Neurospora crassa OR74A: one gene and its partners. The protein of the gene in region 3 purifies or fractionates together with the protein of the main gene of each other region. This does not show direct contact. Links are inferred from orthologs where the notes say so. Each region holds a gene or a part of one and is shown on either strand. Other genes may lie near its edges. The genes, in order: NCU04404, NCU00493, NCU01992 and NCU08811.

The links.
Region 1: the proteins of NCU01992 (region 3) and NCU04404 purify together in Saccharomyces cerevisiae (affinity purification with mass spectrometry; 4 studies listed by BioGRID). This does not show direct contact. The link is inferred for Neurospora crassa OR74A from reciprocal best matches to the Saccharomyces cerevisiae genes SEC21 and SEC26.
Region 2: the proteins of NCU01992 (region 3) and NCU00493 purify together in Saccharomyces cerevisiae (affinity purification with mass spectrometry; 4 studies listed by BioGRID). This does not show direct contact. The link is inferred for Neurospora crassa OR74A from reciprocal best matches to the Saccharomyces cerevisiae genes SEC21 and RET2.
Region 4: the proteins of NCU01992 (region 3) and NCU08811 purify together in Saccharomyces cerevisiae (affinity purification with mass spectrometry; 5 studies listed by BioGRID, with this or other methods). This does not show direct contact. The link is inferred for Neurospora crassa OR74A from reciprocal best matches to the Saccharomyces cerevisiae genes SEC21 and GLO3.

The regions. Positions count from the first base shown.
Region 1 is NC_026504.1:3,470,588-3,475,958, reverse strand, and holds the start of NCU04404 (coatomer beta subunit), read right to left. Parts: upstream 3,205-5,371; 5' UTR 2,767-3,204; coding exon 2,465-2,766; intron 2,400-2,464; coding exon 1-2,399. Other genes in the region: NCU04405 (mago nashi protein), read left to right, coding at 3,570-3,607, 3,675-3,712, 3,796-3,891, 3,951-4,014, 4,077-4,164, 4,227-4,367. UniProt on the Saccharomyces cerevisiae protein: The coatomer is a cytosolic protein complex that binds to dilysine motifs and reversibly associates with Golgi non-clathrin-coated vesicles, which further mediate biosynthetic protein transport from the ER, via the Golgi up to the trans Golgi network.
Region 2 is NC_026503.1:4,046,720-4,052,046, reverse strand, and holds NCU00493 (coatomer subunit delta), read right to left. Parts: upstream 3,324-5,327; 5' UTR 3,044-3,323; coding exon 3,041-3,043; intron 2,985-3,040; coding exon 2,350-2,984; intron 2,295-2,349; coding exon 1,484-2,294; intron 1,422-1,483; coding exon 1,332-1,421; 3' UTR 972-1,331; downstream 1-971. Other genes in the region: NCU00494 (hypothetical protein), read right to left, coding at 1-268, 329-539; NCU00492 (hypothetical protein), read left to right, coding at 4,372-5,327. UniProt on the Saccharomyces cerevisiae protein: The coatomer is a cytosolic protein complex that binds to dilysine motifs and reversibly associates with Golgi non-clathrin-coated vesicles, which further mediate biosynthetic protein transport from the ER, via the Golgi up to the trans Golgi network.
Region 3 is NC_026501.1:1,751,952-1,757,208, reverse strand, and holds the start of NCU01992 (coatomer subunit gamma), read left to right. Parts: upstream 1-1,759; 5' UTR 1,760-1,931; coding exon 1,932-2,007; intron 2,008-2,106; coding exon 2,107-2,417; intron 2,418-2,484; coding exon 2,485-3,799; intron 3,800-3,862; coding exon 3,863-4,678; intron 4,679-4,736; coding exon 4,737-4,969; 3' UTR 4,970-5,257. Other genes in the region: NCU01991 (hypothetical protein), read left to right, coding at 1-563, 627-966. UniProt on the Saccharomyces cerevisiae protein: The coatomer is a cytosolic protein complex that binds to dilysine motifs and reversibly associates with Golgi non-clathrin-coated vesicles, which further mediate biosynthetic protein transport from the ER, via the Golgi up to the trans Golgi network.
Region 4 is NC_026504.1:5,157,023-5,162,464, reverse strand, and holds NCU08811 (arf GTPase-activating protein), read left to right. Parts: upstream 1-1,713; 5' UTR 1,714-2,049; coding exon 2,050-2,121; intron 2,122-2,198; coding exon 2,199-2,334; intron 2,335-2,406; coding exon 2,407-2,590; intron 2,591-2,683; coding exon 2,684-3,441; intron 3,442-3,522; coding exon 3,523-3,863; 3' UTR 3,864-4,188; downstream 4,189-5,442. Other genes in the region: NCU08810 (mitochondrial import inner membrane translocase subunit tim-21), read right to left, coding at 447-647, 735-980, 1,051-1,359; NCU08812 (hypothetical protein), read right to left, coding at 5,062-5,442. UniProt on the Saccharomyces cerevisiae protein: GTPase-activating protein for the ADP ribosylation factor (ARF) family. Involved in retrograde vesicular transport from the Golgi to the endoplasmic reticulum.

The DNA of each region.
Region 1 (5,371 bases), on a different chromosome or scaffold from region 3:
TGGCGCTCAAGAACTGGCAATCACCCTTAAGACTGGCCTCTGGTGTCAAGCAGTTCATATTTGTGGACGCCATAAGCAGGTCCAGGAACTCACGTAGGCTCTTCGCCTTGCTGTTGATGTTGACCTTGTTCTCCCACTCAAACTCGGTCCACATGGTGCGGAACTGGGTCTCAGTGCAAGTTGCCGGTTGGATGTAATCCATGATGTCGACGTGCAAGTCGTTCAGGATGACCACGTGGGTATCAGTGGAGTGAGCACCCTCATACACGACGTTGCCAAAGATGACACCAGTATCTGTGGAGGAGACCTTGATGGTGCACTGAACGTTGTGGAAGTCGTGGGGTCCCAGATTCTGGCTTGTCGGCTTCTCCACAACCTTGAGGTCACCGAGAGTTGCGAACTCGACGGTAAGGTTCTGGAGGGTCTCAGTTGTTTGGTTGACGAGTAGTACGTCTAGTACAATGTCGAACTGGTGGACCTTGACATAGGCCTCAGCATAAACAGGGTCGGAGAAACCGGTGAGCTGGACAACGCGGCTAAGCTTGCCAGATAGGTCCTCAGCCGAGCTGTTGTCTCCACCAGTGGCACGCTCGAGATCGGCATCGAAAGCATCAGCCCCATCAGTGGCATTCTTCTTGGAAAGCTGGCGGATTTGATAAACATCGTCCACCTGGGTGGCCGTCTTTGCCTTTTGGTGGGCCTCTTTTGCTGCGCGCTTCTTCTCCTCAACCTGGACCATCGCCCTGAACGCCTTCCTGGTATCCTCGAGATAAACGGTCTCCAACTCCTTGTGCGCGGTGAACTCGGCAAGGGAGCGCACACAGCTCATGATACGATCCACCGAATCTTCATCAATAGGGGCCTTGACGAACTGCGACTGACCAACACGAATGACGGAGATCATGATGAGCATAGCCTCAGCGCGGAGGGCGTTCGTGCGAGCCTCTTCCGAGGAGATCTCGGCATGACGCATGACAAGCTTGGTAAGGGTCGATGCGAGAACAGTGGCAAGGTAGTAATCGCCGTCAAGGATAAGTTGCCTGAGAGGGGGCTTCGACGAAGCCTTGACAGCCTCCAGGCGTGCAGCAGCTGTAGACTGGCTGGTAAGGGCAGTCTCGGTAGCGTATGTGCCGTCAGCAAGGACCTTGCGTGAGCCAGTCGGCGCTGCCCTTGAGCCATTGACCTGCTCCTTCTCCTTCTCCTCGGCATCACCATCAACATTATCCAGCAACCGTTGCTCGGATGCCAAGATCGGGATCTCACCCAGGCTTGCCCGAATTCTCTTCCATGCGTCCCTGATATCCTTCTCCTCAAGCGAGTACTCGCCGATAATCCAGAGAATACCGCGGTAGATCTTACCAGCGCGGACTTCACTCAGGGTATCTACCAGTCTCGCAATGATTGCTGGCCTGAGCTGAGGGAACTTCTCGACGACCTCCTTGACAAAGTTAATAACATCAACGGCGGAGTTGTTGTTGAAATCGGCAATAAAGTCCATGAGCAAGCCGACGACGCTAGCGGCGACTTCGGAGAACTTGATAGCGCATTGATGGATGGAGTGGATAAGAAGCTGGCGGTACTCGTTGTTCTTCTCGTACTCCTGGTCAACCGTCTTGGACAGCTCCTTCTTGAGCAAAAGCACGACTTCCTCCACGTTCTTGCTGGAGACCATCTCCAAAGCGATCTCGAGACCCTTCCTCCGCACATCGATATCCGTGCTAGAGAGAACGCGCAACACCTCCATGGTCAGGTCGTCCAGGACGCCGGGGTTCTTTTGGCGGAGTTGATCGACACGGTCCAGAACGATAAGCTTGACATTGTTATCCGCCTCCTTGATCGCAAGCTCAATGAACTTGCTGGCAGCAGCCTTGACAGCGACAGGGTTGTTGGTGAGGGCCGTCAACGACGAGGCCGCTTCGTAGATAACGGTCGAGGCACTAGCTTCCAAAAGGTCAAAAATAAGACGGAGGTAGCGCGCCTTGTTCTGGGTGTTGACAACAGCATCTTTCCTGATGAACTCCAACTCGGCCAACTGCAAAAGCTCATCTGCGTTGGGAATACCGTCAAAGACGGTGCTGAGATAGAGAAGAGCCTTGTCGTGGTCGATGCTGGCAAGGGCGGCGAAGCCATTCCGCTTGCAGGTTGGGTCGCTTTCGCCTTCGAGGAACGTGGAGATCAAGTCCGCAGCATCGGGAATAAGCGACGGGGAGTGCTGGTAAATGGAAGCGACAGCAAAGACGGCGTTCTTTCGGACATAGGCATGGCGATGTTCGAGACAGCCCCGGGCTGAGGAGAGCAAAGGCTCGAGAAGTTCGGCCTCCCGCAGCTTGCACAGGAAGCGCAGCGTGTTGCCTCGGATGTACTCGTTCGGGTGTTGCAAGTCGTTTCGGATGCCGTTACTGCGAGGCAATGGCTGGTCAGCTTGGAGGGGCCAGCATGCCCAGACGGACACGGAATGCCTTACCATACTAGGATGAACTCCTGCTTGAGCTTCCCTTGGGCATCAAGCTTGGGGCAGATCTCATAGTAGAAGTATAGAAGCTTCTTCAGGGGCTTGGATTTAGAAGGCATTACGAATCGGATAATGTGCATGAGCAATTGGGGCATGGGATCGCCATTGAGCATGATGGTAAGAATGCGCTTCATGGTCTCGATCTTGGTCTCGTCGGTGCCCTTTTCGAGCTGCGTCTTGAGCTCCTGCACGGTTGGGGTGCCGTCGACGGCATTGTCCTTGACCAAGCTGTAGGCATTTTCGAGGAACGACATGTTGGAGAGCTGGCGGCGGCCGGGCCGTCTTTGATTAAAGTTGAGATTGAATTTGGTAGAAAGTAGCTGGCCGGGCGTCCTGAAGAGGAGTCGCGGATCGAAATTAGAGAGGGGCGGGTGTGGTAAGGTGTTGTTTGCCCCGTTGTAGGTTGCGTGGTGCTAGTAAATGGATGGACTGAGTGGCTGCCTCGAGCTCCTGAAGAGTGACGATGAGCTGGCCTTGGTGCTGGATGTGGTTTCCTCCCCCTGGACTGACAGGGTCGTGGTTGGCCGAAAATCAAGAGACGGCTGCGCAATGAAAGGGTTGTCTGGAGTGCGCCGGCGAGGTGAGAGAGCGGAGCATCACCTGTGCTTGTTGTTGAAGTCTGGAAGAGCCAGCGTGGATAGGACGGTCAATTCTATCGAGAGACGGCCCCTGGGAGATGTGGCATTCTGGCCGGCCGCAACAGCACACGGCGAAGCACGGACCCCCCGACACCCTTACGGCCTCACCAAGCCTCCATCTCCTGGCCGAGTCTGCCATCTGCCAGCTTGTCCAAACAGTCGAAGGATCACGTGTAGATACGGATTGCCAGCTGTCAGGAAGGCTCGTGAACCCGGAGTCAGCTTGGAGCCCAAACAATGCCCCTGGGCCAAGCTGGGGTCAAGTGTGGGGCCGTGTGCCCCGCCAATGTCACTGGAGCGTGGCCGCGCGGGCGCGACTTTCAAGGTTGTCCATCCAAAAGCGACAGGAACCAAGCCGCTGGCTGCATCTCTGCCTCTTGTCTTGCAAAGCCTACTACTGACAGAAGCAACAAACAGCCATGTCAGCCGCCAACGAACCCTTCTATCTGCGCTACTAGTATGTACACCCCTACGGGATTCGATTCACTCACACATTGAAAACACCATGCTAACAGCCGGCTTAGCTCTGGCCACTCGGGCCGCTTCGGCCACGAGTTCCTAGGTGTGTTCAGCCATTTGCGCCTCGAGACGCAAGCTCCCACGTTTCCACGACCACGATGCTAAACTACCGCCCTTTGACTACAGAGTTCGACTTTCGCGTCCTCGGCGACGGACGTAGCGCCACTGCCCGATATGCCAACAACTCCAACTACCGTAACGACAGTCTGATCAGGAAAGAGAGTAGGAAACACTGTTTAGCCGGCCGTGGACATCCATATACTGACGAGGGTCTCTTTTAGTGTGCGTCAGCTCTCTGGTCATTGACGAGATCAAGCGCATCATCAAGGACAGCGAGATTATGAAGTACGACATCATGTTCACCCTTTTATACAAACAACATGGAGCGGCTGCTGACAGGCCAACAGGGAAGACGACGAGAAATGGCCGACCAAAAACAAAGACGGAAAGCAGGAGTTGGAGATCCGCCTCGGGAACGACCACATTTCATTCGAGGTGCGTCTTGCCAGTGTCGGAATCTATTTCTGCAAAATGTTCAGAGCTAATACAGGAAATAGACTGCCAAGATCGGATCGATCAACGATGTTACGGACTCGGCCGACCCAGAAGGCTTGCGCGTCTTCTACTACCTCGTTCAGGACCTCAAGGCGCTGGTGTTCAGTCTCATTGCCTTGCACTTCAAGATCAAGCCCATTTAATCTTCCGACACGAACGAATACCCCGAGTTTGATATATCCTTACTCATGGAAAGGAGAGATTTTGTGGGATAATGCGGCGTTTTATAAAGGCGTTCTTTTCTATCTATTGGCGGCGCAGATGGGTTTCTTGAAACTGGATTTAACATGGATAACTTCGGGACTGGCACAATCGTATACATTATCGACCAATCGCCCCACTGGCCCCCGAACCTAAGAGTCGTCATGGCTGTTTGTGTCAGCTATTGATGATGACCAACCAAGCAGTGTGAGGCAAGATATCCGATGCAGTTGCCAGGCGGAGACCGAGTGATGGAACACCGACATCTCATTACGAAGCACACCAAAAGCATGCCGCTGTACGATTCGTACAACAAATTCGATTCGTACCTCTATGTGAAGAGAGACCTGCCATGGCTGGTCTTGAATCACGATTGATCAAGTGACAAAAGGTTGGGCTACCAACTTTAAAGCAGTAACAAGGTCCGCACATGTCAAAGTAAGAAGTTAATCGATCCAACTCTCCGACTTTTGGCTCTTATTGGCGGTAGACCGGTTATGCTGTGTAACTTTTCGCTTGACGAGTAACGCGGGGTAGACTTTCCTTCCGAGACACATCCAATGCGAAATGGCTTCAGTTTATGGTAAATCCAAGTAGTACAAAATGCTTCGTGAAACTCGGTCCATCCTGGAGCCCTTCGTCGTCGACGTTCCTGGCATGTGCGACGGATCGGGAAGGGTCACTCGAGATGGAAGTGGAAGTTACCTCGGTGGGGCTACTGACGTGAAGGATCTCCACCGCGATAAGCTCTATCGAACCCCTGAAGCTTCCGTCGACACCGCCAAACTGCATGCTTTGGCTCGGCAGCGCTTCTCCCAATCCCGCACTGCAAAGTGGAAGTCAACATCAACCCGCTTGGCAGCACGGCGTGCGCGGGTGGCAACTGCATCGCATGCTGTACCTGTGTGTGTGTTGTTTTGGCCCCGAGAGGTACAATCGCAAGCGA
Region 2 (5,327 bases), on a different chromosome or scaffold from region 3:
TCGATTTCCAGAAAAGTCAACTCATGAGGGAGGTCCAGAACATGCTTCTTCTCATCGAGCATGAGATCCCGCCACGGCAAGTCGGGGAGGTCATTATGCTTCCTGGCACGCGACTTCCTACCAGTTTCGTTTTTGGCCCAGGCGATGAACTCAATCTTAGAAGGCTTTCCACCATGACCTGCCACGCGGATGTGATGCACGGCTTTGTTGCTTTCCAAGCCGATCAACCTCACCACGCCGTCACTCCAGCCGGCAGCTAAGAATTGGCCTGCGAATTCCCTGTAAGACAGTGGTTTCCCTCAACAGCCATCGGAAGATCTTCACTTACCATCCTCTTTCCACTTGATTGCATCAACCTTCTGGTTTCGTTCTGTATGCTTCGAGACCAACTGATTGCTGCCACGCCAGACATAGATCGTGTTACCGTCGCCGACCGTGGCTGTCAAGTCGATCACGGGATTGCATACGATTTGCTTGCCTGAGACTGGCACACTCAAGGCGCTTGAACTGAATAGCTGAAGCTGCCCATTTGGGGACATTTTGTAGGATCCGTTGGTGACTTTCAGTTGGATGATGTTATTTGGACGTGGAAAGCAGCGGCTAAGTGGTTCCAGCCTTCAACTCCGGGACGCAAGATTTTGATTTGAATGACACGCGCAAGTCCATAACTTGGCAAGTCGGTTTGTATGTTTGGGGGATTTCGGTTTTGGTTTGCTAGACCTACAGCTTCACTTGCCTCGGCGTGATGTTGTTGTTGTTGTTGCTGCTGTTCTGCGATTCAGTCGTGTGGTCTCGTCCTGCCTGTTGATTCAAAACACAGTGCAGATAGAGCAGTTGCCACAGTAATAGAAATACTGTGCAGGGGCATCCGTACTGTGTAGGTATGACCTTTACAAGCTTACCTAGCGAACTACACACATCGACATCAATTACCATACTCTGTGCTTACAACAGCGATGATTGAGTTGGATAGCTCTTTGCGTAGATAGGCTTCTTTCTATATGGTACTGGATCATGAGGGTATCCATCCCCTTAAAAATGCGTAGGGCTCGTAGCTTACATGTTACTTTCAAGGATCCCGGGAGCGTCAAAAACCTCTTGTTCAAAAAGTCAAGTATGACCTTGGGTATCAACGGAAGAAAAGGAATGACAGCTCGAGCACCCACTGGCGCGGACCATGTACAACAGTATTCATTATAAAGGGAGTTGGACAACTCGGTTGCTTCCCATACATTACTCTAATTCTGGTGTGGAAGATGATGATCGAGACGCCTGGCCGGCATGCTACGGTCGCCCTTTTTTGGTTCTGCTCAAAACAATGACAACAAACCCTACTCAATGAGGAACTTGTCGGCCACCGATCTGATGTCCTTGGAAAACGAAACCTCTTCACCTTCATCCACCAGCTCAACAGATTGAACCTAGAATGTGTCAGTTGTTCCGTCTTTACCCGTTTTTCTGACATGAGGGGGCGACATCTTACATCAACCTCCACGAACGGCCACGACTTGGAGAACCGTACTTGCATCGGGAAGAACTCGTTCTCGTCATCGGTCTGCGCCTCAAACTCGAATGATCCGCTGGCGTTCTCCTCGCTTACGGTGCCTATCGACCACTCTAGACTGTCACCAGACACCTCATACACAGCGTCGAAGCTAGACACCTGAGGCTCTGCGCTCGTGTAGGGGATGACGACAGTAACGTCCTTGAGGGTATCTCCGCCAGTGAGCTCGTACTCGACCGTCAATGTGCTGTTGCCATCCGAGCCCTTGTTGACCCAAACGGTGAAGCTGATTGGTAGTGCGCTGGTGTCGTCGACTCTGGGACTGGCCCGCCACCTTAGAACTCCGACAGAGTTGTTAAGGGGGAAACCCTTTGTGATTTGAGACAACTGGATAGCCTGGGAGCTATTGAAGACATTCTTATCGACGTTCGGGTGAGTGCGGAACTGGGCGCCGTGGGTGGGTGTGGCGCTGAGGTTGAGCTTGATCCTTGAAAGCGATGGGTCGGAGACGCGAAGCTGGAGGTCACCGCTGACCGAGAGGGATTCGAGGGCACCATCTCTCGACAGCTTGGCACTGATTGCCTCGTTGATAAGGACGTGAATAGCATCCCTGTCGAGTGTCGAAGAGACTCTGGAAGCAGCAGGCTCTGCGGCAGCTGCCGGCGCGGCTACCGGAACAAGGGGCGCTTCCTCGGCCTCGTGTCCAAGATCCCCCTTCACGCGCTCGAAAATATCCGTATTCTTGGACTTCTTGCCCAACTGCATACCTTTGCCCTTTGGCGCATTGAACCTAGAAGAATGTGAGCTTGCAGGCCAGCCTGAAAAGAAGAGGGACTAACACATACTTGACCTTGTTCTTCTCGGCTTCGTACGTATCATAGGACTCGGTGACAGCAGGTCGCACCGGCGGGGTGTATGTGGGATATACCGGCGTCCGGGGTACCGCGGACCGACCAGTTCTGGCCGACTCCTTGCGCTGCATCTCCAACTGCTTGGCTTTCCTCTTGCGCTCTTCGGTGGCCTCCAGCTCCTTGTTGCGGGCAATGATTTCCTGAATGCGCTCCTCGTGGCTTTCCATCTCGAGGAAGGTCTTGATCTGGCTGATGGTGAGGTTCTCCCGGTAACCGAGAGTCACCAGCTCATCGAAGGCGCTGAGCAGTTCGTAGGCATTTCGGAGGATTTCGCGCTCGTCAAGGCTCTTGCAGGTGCTGGTGACAACCTGGGCAAAAAGGTGGAGCGAGTCGATGTCCTGAAGGATGTTGGACTGCTTGTTGGTGATGAGGACCATGTACAGCTCGTCCAGGGGCTGGTAGACGAATCGGACATTGTCTTGCTCGACAATGGTGTGCTGAGTACCCGAGTCGGCGGCCTTGGGGAACGAGGCGAGGAGAGCTTCGATGCGGGAGCGCTTGATGTCGTTGAAGGCGCGGGCTAAGACGGCCTTGCCGCCGCGGGTGCAGATGGAGGCAGCGAGGACAACCTGACATGTTCCGTCAATCGCTTCTTCCCACCAGGAGACAGGGATGGATGAGTTACCATTTTGACAGCAGTAAACAACAACCACGACTACTGACTCGAAGGGCGCTTCGTGGTAGTGCAGGGAGCTTTGGGATGCGTTGGAGGTAAGTCGTGAGCTTCACCTCCTGAAAGTTGTCGTGGACGGGAAGGTTGATGTGGTCTTTCCGTTGCCGTGCTGAGGTGTGCTGTCGGTCAGGTCCAATTGAACTGAAGGTGCCATCTGGAGGGACCCAGCGGGCAGCGATAGGTAGAGGTACCTGGACGGCAGCTTCACTGCAGCGTCAGGGCAGTCGGGTTCAGGCGGGCCAGGGCAACCTACTGCGTACACGGTGGCAGCGTCCTGGCCGGCCGACGAGGGGCTGCCAGCTGGCAAAAGAAATCCAGGGGCACACCATAGATACAAGTACAGTAGGTAGGTACCTCTAGGCACCCACAGGGCCCGCTAAACTCCATGCGGCACTTGCTTAGGTTCAGTTTCCTTCCTATGATCAATTCTGCGAATTTCACCGTTGTCCACACACTGCGGCAAAACCAACAACTGCACCTCTTTCTTCAACACGCACAACAGACGGCCCCGTGTGTCGAAATTTCACGATTTCCATTTCCATCCAAACCATCGCCTACCTCGAAAAACCATCCGCCATCGAGAAACTTGTTTCTCAATCGCGTCAAAGCATTGCCCAGCCAATACGAGTCTCGATTACGGATCATCAAATACCTACGCTACCTTTGTGACACGCCTCGTCATCAAGAGCTTACTCGACTCCGTTGCACTTCACCCACCTCCCAGCTCCGCCGCTCCGTGAAAGTGAGGCATCCCGATTATCTGCCTGCCGCGTTTCAGCATTCCATACCTCGATTCGATGTGCACTTTTGCCCAGAACATCCGCCCCAGAACTCTTAACAGCGGTTAAATCGTGTTGTCGGATTCCGCCAGTCCACGTGTCGCCTCACATCCCTTCACCGTTTCATTTTGCGCCCCAGAAGCGCCGTTGTTTGTCGGGCGTTCTTTGTCGAGTGCGGGGTTGCCCATTCTCAGCCATAACTCCAGAACCCGTGGTCTCTATATGCCCTACGGCTTCGCTTCCAAGAAGAAGTCACAGCCTTTCAGTCCAAGACATCCACCGAAACCCATCGCCAAGCTTGGGGTTTTGACCAGTGCACCAATTTTCTACGTCTTCGCTTCTTTCATGACGCTTGCTGGACGTACAATTTCTTGACAACGGCAATACGTCGCACCTTCTTAGAAACTTCGTGGAAGTTTTGCGTCATTTTCCAAATTTTCGTTCTTGATCCAACTCACTCGTCTGTGGCGCGTGTTTTGATTGACCCGCCAACCGCCAATCATCATGGAGCAAGTTAGCTTCGACGTTCGTGCCGAGGCGGGGAAGGCGGTATTTGACGATGACTTGATGCTAGATGCCGGCATGCCAGCCGACGAGCTTGTCTTAGAACTCGACGACCTACATGACAAGGAAGATGAGTACCAGGCGATCGATCTTGATGCCCAACCCGCCACAGCGGATGTTGAATTTGCTGTCGATGACCTCGAGGCTCAGCATAATACCAACGATGAGCAAGCAGAGGCGGCAGGCGGCGTCGAGCAAGATGCTCAGGATGTCTCCATGGCATACAATGACGAGATAGGTTATGAAGAGGAGGAGGGCGTTGCAGAAGAGGCTGTTACTGAACACGAGCCCGAAGATACCACTATATCAAAAGCGCCGTCTGCAAATGACGAGAATCCAGATCTACGTGAATTGGAACAGGAAGCCCAGGACGTCCAGATTGATCTTGCTGAGTCCAAATTGGGCGACGATGCGGAAGAGCAGCCGATCGGGCGTGAGGCCGAGACAAAGAACCCTGTTGATCAGGAGGCTACTGAACAAGTTGCCGAGACCGATGTCGGTCTGGACGTCGGTGGTGTTGCAGCTACCAACCCTCTGGATACAGCTGTCTCGGGAGCTGAACAAGCGGGCGAGGCCGTGAGCGAGGATCGCCAGCTCGAGGAAAGCCAGATTGACCATGACGAGGCCATTGTTGATGATGCTGCATTCAGCATCACAGATATTACAGTCCAGTATGATGGTGGCAGTTATGCCCTCTTTGGGAACTCGGACATGGATCCTGAGACCTACTTTCTTACCGATACTGAGATCGCAACCGCACCGTTGTCGGAATTACTTGCATCTATCCGTTCTGTCATTGCCTCGGAGTTAACACCCGGAGAAGAACTGGTCATCGTTATTGACTCACTTGATTTGAACTTTGGCGAAAGGTCCAGTAAAGACTTTTTGCAGCGCAG
Region 3 (5,257 bases):
TCGCCGCCTTTGGCGTACCCCAGTAATCCGAGTGCTTTTCAAAACGGCACTCTTTACGCACAGTCAGCCGCCCAGCTAGGCCGACCTAAGAGAGCTTCGCCGAGCGGTAATGATGGTGTAGTCGATGGATCAGATGTGAGCAAACCGCCAGCCAAAAAGCCAAGGACCCGTCGCCCGAGGCCTGCTGTCCCCACTCCTGCCGCAGAGGGTGCAATGGGGGATGTTGGGACGCCGTCTTCATCTGCCGCTACTGCTGCTGCCGCTGTCGCTGCTGTGGCTAGGTATTCACCGTCCTCAGGCACGAAGGCTGAGCCTGACCTCGACGCCGTGTCGCAACGCTCGAGAGAGCTCTCGGCAGCTAACCGGAAAGCCAGAGGACCACAGAGTCGGTCACCCTGGCTTCGCGATGACATCAGGATGTTGATCAAGGCAGTGGATACGTACAAGTGTAAATGGAGCGTCATCGAGAAGGAAATAAAGGAGGGGAAAATCCCTTTTGAGCGCCCTCGTGACCAGCAGGCTTTGCGAGACAAAGCTCGCTTGCTAAAGCAGGACTTCTTAAAGTGAGTGACTTGACGCCTTGCTTACTAAACCTTATCTGGCCGCTACTGACACGTCTGGTACAGGGCTGATGCTATTTTGCCTCCGTCCTTTGATCTCGTTGTGCTGGGCAAAAAAGAGAAAGAAGCTGTGAAGGCATGCGGCAAAAATCCCGACCGCAAGGAAGACGACGTCCGGAACGGGTTTCCCATCAATACTGATTATCACGCGCAAGAGCCGATGCAGGAGCAAGCAAGCGCCGCCGAAGCGGAGGACCAAGCGCAGGTGCAGGGCGAGGAACAACCGGACATGCAACTCGAAACACAGGCGGAGGTACAGACTGAGGCGCAACCCGAGGCCTCGGCAGTGGTCTCAGATGAGGTGCCTGTCGATGCAGAAGCGATAGAAGCTGCTTCCACATCATAGGGTCCATTTGTGTATCCGATCGCTGATGCTACGCAGGTGAGGGCCGTAGCAGGAGAGTGATATAAGAAGCTGTGCCTAAGAGTACGCCCCAAAAGAGAGCAAGCAAACATACTAGAAAACAAATCATGCTTTTATGAGCCAAAGCAAGGCTATATGTCCTTTTGGAGGAAGACGAAAAGGAAGAGATGGGTACAATGGATGCTCGGACCAACTGTATCCTTAAGTACAGGCTGGGACTACCGTTGAGGAGAACCAATTGACAGCAAGAAGGGCTCACGATAATGCAATTTGAGTAAAGTAGTCAGTATCAAGCTGTCATTCAAGCCGAAAGGGAAGGCGGCCACCTAGACCGAGTGTGGGATGTAAAGCTTGGCACTGAACAGGTCCAAGTAAAGTATCAATAGTTATCATGGTGATTACTACGTACTAGCAATCTTGGTTCTATTTTTCCTTCAGAAGCACAAGTGAGGTGACCTGGCAGGTTGAACAATGTCAAGTTTGTCTTCCAGGAACAACATCCCGTGTGATTATATTGAAAATAATTAAACTCGATGATCTACTCAGGAGGCGGGAGGGAAGCATCTATGTAGAGGTAACTAGGTATGTACATATTGGAAGGGTGGTCTGTGCGCTGTAACACCCGCTCCTTGAGGTTGACGATGCACATGGAGAAGCTTGCTCCTGCCGGGAGGCTTTCAGCCTCTAACTGGCGAGACTGGCAGCGTGGCCCGGGAGCACGGACTCCCTGACACCTCAGTGGACTCCCCCTCGACTGTGCAGTGGAATTGGCAACGTCGCGGGTTTGGGGATACCCGCTTGCTGGCCGCACCGTCGCACAGGCAACACGCTACTCCGTTATTTCGTACCTCTATTGTTCTAGCCTCGACTTACTTGCCTCAACAACAACAACTTGGGTTTCCCAAATCCACATCACACCTCCAGCACCCATCGTCGCCCTGCCCGCCATGAATTACGGCAAAAAGGACGAGGATGCTGAGACGGGTCTGGTCAAGGTCGACCGGACCCAGGTCTTCCAGGAGGGTGAGTCCGAGTACCTTGGCAGCTGAGGCATTGTTCGTCGGGTGGACGTGGCCCTTATACTCTCCTAACCTCCTCAAGACTGACCGGTTCGACATACAGCCCGCCTCTTCAACAACTCCCCCATTCAGCCGCGCAAATGTCGTATCCTCCTCACCAAGATTGCTCTCCTCCTCTACACCGGCGAAAGATTCCCGACAAACGAAGCCACGACGCTGTTTTTTGGTATTTCGAAGCTCTTCCAGAACAAAGATGCCAGCCTACGACAGATGGTCCACCTTGTCATCAAGGAGCTGGCCAACTCGGCCGAGGATATTATTATGGTTACCAGCACCATTATGAAGGATACTGGCGGTAGTACCGATGCCATCTACCGCCCGAATGCCATCCGCGCCCTTTGCCGCATCATCGATGTAAGCCTCCCCCTTCCTCGACCCCTTAATGGTTATCCGATGTGGAGCTAACCCCGACCTTGTGCAGGCCACCACAGTACAGTCCATCGAGCGTGTCATGAAGACGGCCATTGTCGACAGAAACCCCTCAGTATCCTCTGCCGCCCTCGTATCGTCATATCACCTTCTCCCCGTCGCCAAGGACGTCGTCAAACGGTGGCAGAATGAGACCTCGGAAGCGGCAGCTAACACCAAGTCTACCGGCGGTTTCTCCCTCGGTTTCGGATCTTCCAACAGAGATCTGCCCATCAACAGCTCGACTATGACCCAATACCATGCCATTGGCTTGCTTTATCAGATGCGCATGCACGACAGGATGGCGTTGGTGAAGATGGTCCAGCAGTTCGGTGCTCCCGGTGCCGTCAAGAACCCCGCTGCTCTCATGTTGCTCGTCCGTCTTGCCGCCCAGCTGGCCGACGAAGACCCACACCTTAGGAAGCCCATGATGCAGCTGCTGGATGGCTGGCTCAGGCACAAGAGCGAAATGGTCAACTTCGAGGCCGCAAAGGCGATTTGCGATATGCGGGATGTCACCGACGCTGAGGTCACCCAGGCAGTCCATGTCCTCCAACTTTTCCTTACCTCGCCCCGCGCTGTCACCAAGTTCGCCGCTCTTCGCATTCTCCACAACTTCGCTTCGTTCAAGCCGGCGGCCGTTGCTGTATGCAACCCGGACATTGAGCTCCTCATCTCCAACAGCAACCGCTCCATCGCTACTTTTGCCATTACTACCCTACTCAAGACCGGAAACGAGGCCAGCGTGGATCGTCTGATGAAGCAAATTTCTGGCTTCATGTCTGAAATCACCGATGAGTTCAAGATTACGATTGTCGAAGCCATCCGTACTCTATGCCTCAAGTTTCCCAGCAAGCAGGCCGGCATGCTCCAGTTCCTCAGTGGTATTTTGCGCGATGAGGGTGGCTATGAGTTTAAGCGCGCCGTGGTGGAGAGCATGTTCGATCTTATCAAGTTCGTCCCCGAATCTAAGGAGGAGGCTCTCGCTCACCTGTGCGAGTTTATTGAGGACTGCGAGTTCACCAAGTTGGCAGTCCGTGTCCTTCACCTCCTCGGTCTTGAGGGACCCAAGACATCCCAGCCTACCAAGTACATCCGATACATCTACAACCGGGTGGTTCTCGAGAACTCCATTGTGCGCGCCGCAGCGGTCACTGCCCTTGCCAAATTTGGTGTCGGCCAGAAAGATCCTGAAGTCAAGCGCAGCGTAGAGGTTCTCCTCACCAGGTGTCTGGATGATGTTGATGACGAGGTTCGCGATCGTGCTGCTCTCAACCTCAAGCTTATGAAGGAAGAGGATGAGCTTGCGAACAGGTTTGTCAAGAATGGTAAGTTCTCGTCTACTTTATGTTACGTTTGCCGGATGCGATCACATACTGACATGTCAACAGACAGCATGTTCTCGTTGCCCTTTTTCGAGCATCAGCTCGTCACGTATGTTACTTCTGATGACAGGTCGACATTCGAGGCGCCTTTCGACATCTCCAAGATCCCTGTTGTTACCCGCGAACAAGCAGATGCCGAGGATAGGACCAAGAAGCTTACTGCTACGACACCTTCACTCAAGCCACCCAAGGTCGGACCAACCAAGGCGGCTCCCACCAGCGCCGAGGCAGCCGCATCTGCCTCGGCAGCTGCGCAAAAATATGCGCAGGAGTTGATGCAGATTCCCGAGATGGCAGAATTTGGCGCCGTTCTCAAGTCGTCGCCGGTGGTAGAGTTGACCGAGGCGGAGACCGAATACGTCGTTGGAGTTGTCAAGCATATTTTCAAGGAGCATATTGTGCTCCAGTACGAGGTCAAGAACACCCTTCCCGACACCGTATTAGAGAACGTCTCTGTCGTAGCTACTCCCGCGGAAGAAGAGCTTGAAGAATTATTCATTATTCAGGCTGAGAAGCTCGAGACCGACGTTCCTGGAAAGGTATATGTGGCATTCAGAAAGGTCAGCGGTGAGGGTTCGCTACCAGTTAGCACCTTCTCCAACGTCCTCAAGTTCACCAGCAAGGAGATTGATCCCAGCACCGGTGAGCCTGAAGAAACCGGCTACGATGACGAGTACGAGGTTGCCGAGTTTGACCTGGCGGGAAGCGACTATGTCATTCCCGTATTTGCCAGCAACTTTGCGCACATCTGGGAGCAGGTTGGCGCTTCTGGGGAAGAGGCGGAGGAGACATTGCTACTCAGCAGCATGAAGAGCATATCAGGTACGTAAAATTCTCTGGTCCTTGGTTTCTGCCAAACCCATTTATTAACATCCTACAGACGCAACCGAACAACTAGCAAAGACTTTGTCGCTACAACCCCTTGAAGGAACAGATGTACCCCTCAACCAGACCACACATACGCTCAAGCTCCTCGGAAAGACCGTCAACGGCGGCAGAGTGGTTGCCAACGTCCGTATGGCTTTCTCGGCCAAGTCGGGTGTTACTACCAAGATCACTGTCAGGAGTGAGGAGGAAGGTGTGGCTGCTTTGATCGTGGCGTCTGTTGCTTAAAGAGCTTAATGAAACGGGCGAGGTATCAACTATGCCCTTGGCTTTGATAACTTGAGGGATGTTCGTTGTTTGGTGTTAGCTTGTTGTCCGTATGGCGTTTTACCCCAAACTTAGTACTCTATTATTAGTCGCGTCATACTATCTGGTAGAGAAAGACAGAATTACGTTCTTTCTTCTGGATAGCATGAGAGTTCTGTAGGTGCTGTGTTGGCTGCTCACACTATGAACAAAACCGCGAGATATCTGATTATACTGTTCGTCCTGCCAGGGTCGATCTCGGGGTCTTTA
Region 4 (5,442 bases), on a different chromosome or scaffold from region 3:
GCGGCGAGACAGGAAGGGTTATTATTGTATTTGAATATCACTCTGATCATATCTAAGGATTGGTGGCTGGTCTTGTTGAAGAAAGACTTGAAAGGCGATGGAATAGCACTGCAACAGTTTAGGGTCATTCAGGAAGCTCTCTGATTTGATTTTCAGGAAAAGAGAAGGGCATGACAGAGTACAAGCAACTGCGGTCTTGGTATCCGTACCAACGATGAGGACATATAATGAAAGCACTCTAATTCCAATTTGCAGACTTGTTCTCATATCCAACGTGCGATGCTAAGCCTCCATGACGCATCATAATGACACACCGAAGATAACAAACATACTCATTGAAAGAAACAAGACTAACCGGCAAACCCATATTTCACTGCATCGCCGTTCATCATTGCAACAATGACCAGCAGCCTTGAACAATATTCATACAAGCGAATGGAAGCCTTTCAGTTCCACTTGACACCCAAGAACTTGAACTCCTTGTTGCCACCCTTCTTAGCAGCCGCCACTTCTGCCTCCTTATTCTCCAAGTAAATTCTCTGATGTCCCCTCACATCCACGTAAAAGGTCTGGTACTCATGCTCCCAGTGACCTGGTTGCTTGGTCAGATGCAGCCCGACGACACCAGAACCTCTTGGTCCTTCGACCTGTTTTTCTTGGTGTTAGCCCCATCATCACAACAAATTTTTAACAAAACAGGGGAAAGAAAAAGAAGAAGAAGAAGTAAAACGAACATGGAAATGCATCTTTAGATGCTCCACACCCCTATTATCCTTCTCGACCGTTGCCGCGATCGGCCGCGCCCGGCGCCACTTGTTGTGTGTCTCTTCGCCGTGAGCAGCAATCTTCTTTGGGTCGCCGGGCGAAAGAAGGGCGACGCAGCGAGGGTCGGCACGGATCCGGTCAACGGCTCGGTTGAAGTAGGCGGTTTTGGACTCTGGGGAGAACACGTCGGTGAAGAGTAGGTAGGCAATTCCTCCCTGTGTGGTAGAGTTAGTACTACACACAACACACCGGAGTGAGCGATGAATTGGGAAGAAGAAAGCGTACGGTCAAAACCACACCCAAAATCACCAGACCAAAGTTGAACGTTTGCTGGACGGCGCGCCCGGCTTTTTCACCGGTGGAGAGCCGAGTCCAGGGCACATGGCCATCATCATTGAAGGGCGTTACGGATCTCCTCTTGGAACTTTCTTGCGTAGTCGCATATTGCCGGCGCGATGAGACGAGAATGACGCTAGCTGCTGTCGGAGGAAGAGCTCTCGAAGCTGCTGTGGTAATGGTTGCTTGTTGACGGACCACGGCGGGGCTCAGAAGAAGCCTCACACCCGCCGAAGTACCTGTGAGCATTTTCATCATGGAGGCTTCAACACAACACCCATATTTCAACGGCAATGTTTCAGCCGTTTGCGATTGTTATGAGAGCTTCAATGAGAATGAGAGGTCCGAACGAAGCTGTGATGAGCTGCGGTTGGATGAAGCTTTGGAACCGTTTGCCGGCACGGCATCTTTCCCGGCAGAGGAGGTCCGTCCGGCGAGGGGTGGAGTCGGGTTCGTGTTGCGCTCCACTAGGTAGAGACGGGACTGTGTGCCAAGGCGCCAAGATGCCACATGGAAGGGCGAACCTCCATGAGCAAGTGGAAGCGTCTGATTCTTGGCTGGGGAACACAAAGAAATGTGGCCCAACGTTCCAGTGGACGTTCCAATACCATACAGGTACGTAGGTAGGTTGCCAGGCAGCCCGGCTCTCTCCGCTGGGGCTCCCCCCCCGTCTCCTGAATTAACTGCGAGCGAATGACAACACTTGAAAGATTGACAACTTGTAACAAGCCCGAAAACCTACAGCGCCGCCTTGTTTGACTTCTCTCCCTCTTCTGCCCCCTTTTTCACCTTCCCCCCCCTGACGGCAGCACCGACCTACCGACCCTGACAACCTAACCGAGCAAAGGGGTCATCAACAACGACAGTCGAGATCTAGTGACACATCACAACCCTGGCAAAGGACAGACATACCTAATCCGAACCATCACCGGACTGCCGACCGACAAGATGAGCGGTCTCGCGACAAAGCAGCAGTCGCTCAAGCTTTTTGAGAAGCTCAAGGCGAAGCCAGCCAACAAGGTATGTGCCCACGCGAGCAGCGATCGACCCTAGACATCCAGAAAGCTAACTGCTGCCTCCCTTCCCGCGAACAACAGATCTGCTTCGACTGCGGCCAAAAGAACCCAACATGGACCTCGGTCCCCTTTGGCATCTACCTCTGCCTCGATTGCTCGGCCAACCACCGCAACCTCGGCGTTCACATTTCCTTTGTGCGGTCTACTAACCTCGACCGTATGTGCCCTCTCGATCTTTACTCCACGACGCGACACCTCGCCCGCTAACGCGAACCTTGTTCTTGTACAGAATGGCAATGGGACCAGCTACGGATCATGAAGGTGGGCGGCAATGAGTCGGCAACCAAGTTCTTTCAGCAAAACGGTGGTTCCGCCGCCTTGAACAGCAAGGACCCCAAGACCAAGTACCAATCTGCTGCCGCGACCAAGTACAAGGAGGAGCTCAAGAAGAGGGCTGCTAGGGACGCCCGCGAGTATGCAATGCCCCTACCCCTCATTTACACAAACCTGTTTTATTCCACGTTACATGAAATGCAATGCTGACGCGCTGTTTACCTCCCACCCAGATACCCCGAAGAAGTTGTCATCACCGACGGTGACGATGCCACAAGCAGCAACACCCCGGCCGGCGAGCCCGACGACGACTTCTTTTCCTCGTGGGACAAGCCCGCCATCAAGAAGCCCACGCCACCCATTTCCCGCACTTCCACACCCCCCGTCATCGGCCGCACCGCCTCCCCGCTCCTCGGCAACGGCAAGGACATCCAGCGCACTTCCTCGCCGCTCTCCAAGACCGATTCCGATGCTCCCACTCCCGCCCCCGCCGCCAGCCGCATCACCACCTCCGCGGCCCTAAGGAAAACCACCCCCGGCAGCAGCACCACCGGCGGCCCGCGCAAGGTGGGCGGCGGCATCCTAGGCGCCAAGAAGCCCGCGGCTAAGCTGGGCGTCAAGAAGATTTCGGCGGACCTGATCGATTTCGACGAGGCGGAGAAGAAGGCCAAGGAGGAGGCGGAGCGCATCGAGAAGCTGGGTTACGATCCCGAGGCGGAGGAGGAGAAGGCGGCGAAGAAGGCCGAGACCAAGACCAATAATATCATCACCCCTGCTGCGGCGCCAGTCAGCTCCTCCAGTTCGCGGTCGGCGGCGCAGGAGAAGTCGGCTGCTGAGGTGGAGAGGCTAGGTATGGGTGTCAGGAAGCTGGGTTTCGGTATGGTGGGCAAGCCCGGTGGTGCTGGTGCTGCGGCGGGCGCGGGAGGAGCGGCGGCGGCGAAGAAGAATGCGGGTGGGTTTGGAAGTGTTGGGCCTATTAAGGCTAGTGAGGGTATGTTTTTTTTTTCCCTCCTTTCCCTTTCTTTTTTTTTCTTTTTCTTACGCAATACTAACCAACATCGATACGAAACAGCCGACGAAGAACAATACGCCCGCAACAAGTTCGCCAACCAAAAGGCCATCTCTTCGGACGAGTTTTTCAACAAGGGCAACTACGACCCCTCGGTCAAGGCCGAGACCAAGGCCCGTCTACAAGGCTTCGAGGGTGCCCAGGCCATCTCTTCCAATGCCTACTTTGGTCGTCCCGAGGACGACGCGCCCGCCGAAGACTACGGCGACCTCGAGTCTGCCGCCAAGGACTTCATTCGCAAGTTTGGCATCACTGCCAGCGATGATCTGGAGAACCTTACGCAGATGGTGGGTGAGGGTGCCGGGAGGTTGCAGGGTGCTATCAGGGCTTATCTTGGGAGCTGAGCGGTGGAAATGGAAGAATGAGGCAGCAGTGTGGGTGGGCAGCTGGACGTGATGGGCGAAGGGAATTACCTAGTTATGAGACAGAAAGATGTGGACGAGCGGGTAAGGCTTCCTTTTAGTAAAAATTAGTATTTGTAGTGTAATGGTGAATGAATGTTTTATGGTAGAGAGCACTAGTAGTCTGGGCAGATGATGCGGGTTTCTGATATCTAACGAAGAGGATGACGGCCAGGATCTGGATGAGCTGTTCTCACATCCGTGGCGTAGGGGGATCTTGGTAAGTGACCACGGGAAGTATTCAAGCAACAAGAAAGAGATATGATGGTGTTCTATAGCGTACGGTTTTTCGATTACGGTGGCAGTCGAGGTTGACAGGGAGAGATCGTGATGTTGATCAGGGTTTCAGCGAGATTTTTGCTAATAACTGACTCGCGCAACCATAATAGAAGCTACTGATATAGGGCCTACCTTCAGCGTAATTCTATCAATAACAACAGCTGGTCCGATGGTGTAGTTGGTTATCACGTCAGTCTAACACACTGAAGGTCCCCAGATCGAGCCTGGGTCGGATCATGAACCAAACTTTCTTTTTTTGCGATTGTTTTTGTTTTTTTATTGACCTAATGTTCTCGGCCCCCTTTTTTTTTTTTTTTTTTTTTTTTTTTTCCCTTTCCTGCAGGAGGAGGGAGAAGGGGGGGGGGGGGGGGGGGGGGAAGAATCGTCAGTCGCGCAGTGGTCACTTGCACTTTACCACTTGGTCCATGCTGTGCAGTCCACAATCCTCGTTGAAGTCTTTGCAAATAAAGACCTCTAGATGATGTGCCCTGCTTTCGGATTTACAATACGGTGTTTCTGAGGCGCAAGCAAGACCGAATGTCATTGCCATGCAAACGGTGGAGATATCCATAGGGAAGGTCACGATGGAAACCCTAGGGTTTTGCTTAGACCGAGCTGAAGTAAGGTGTTATGTTATTTATGGCTCTGATCTGGGCGGCATTGCCTGGAAATGGGACTGGATTGACGGACTGCGGTAGGGGCTGTTTCTTCAAGGTGTAAGATCTCACTTGCACAGATATTGGCGTTGAAGATTTATGTTAAATACAAAGACACGAACGTCTGATGCCATGTTGAGCTTGGTTCGTCCTACTCGAACTTCCTTCTGTTTCACCCTCTTGTCTCCTTCATGACTTCCTTGTTATCACGACCCCTCCAATGAGAAAAATCCGTCATAAACATGCTGCAACTCCATCACTACCTTCTCGTAAACCGCACTGATCAGTTCTGAGTCTTGTAAGCTTTGCGCGTCCAAGCCAAAGTTGCCGTGAACACATCGATGAGTGATGTTGTGTAGTCTCGGTCCACCGTCGTCCCCAACCATCCGTTGCCAGGTTGCTGCGGCGTTGAACTTGGTAAACTCTTTTTCCTTGCCATTAGGGCCGAAGTTGGCTTCCCACGAAGGCTGAGACTCGAGAGACTGGCCGAACCAGAGTTCGAGAATCAAGATGCCGAGGCTGAGCAAGATCTTTGTATGGTCAGGAGGTCTCAATGTATATGCCGTTCTTTCTACCGTAGGCTCTCT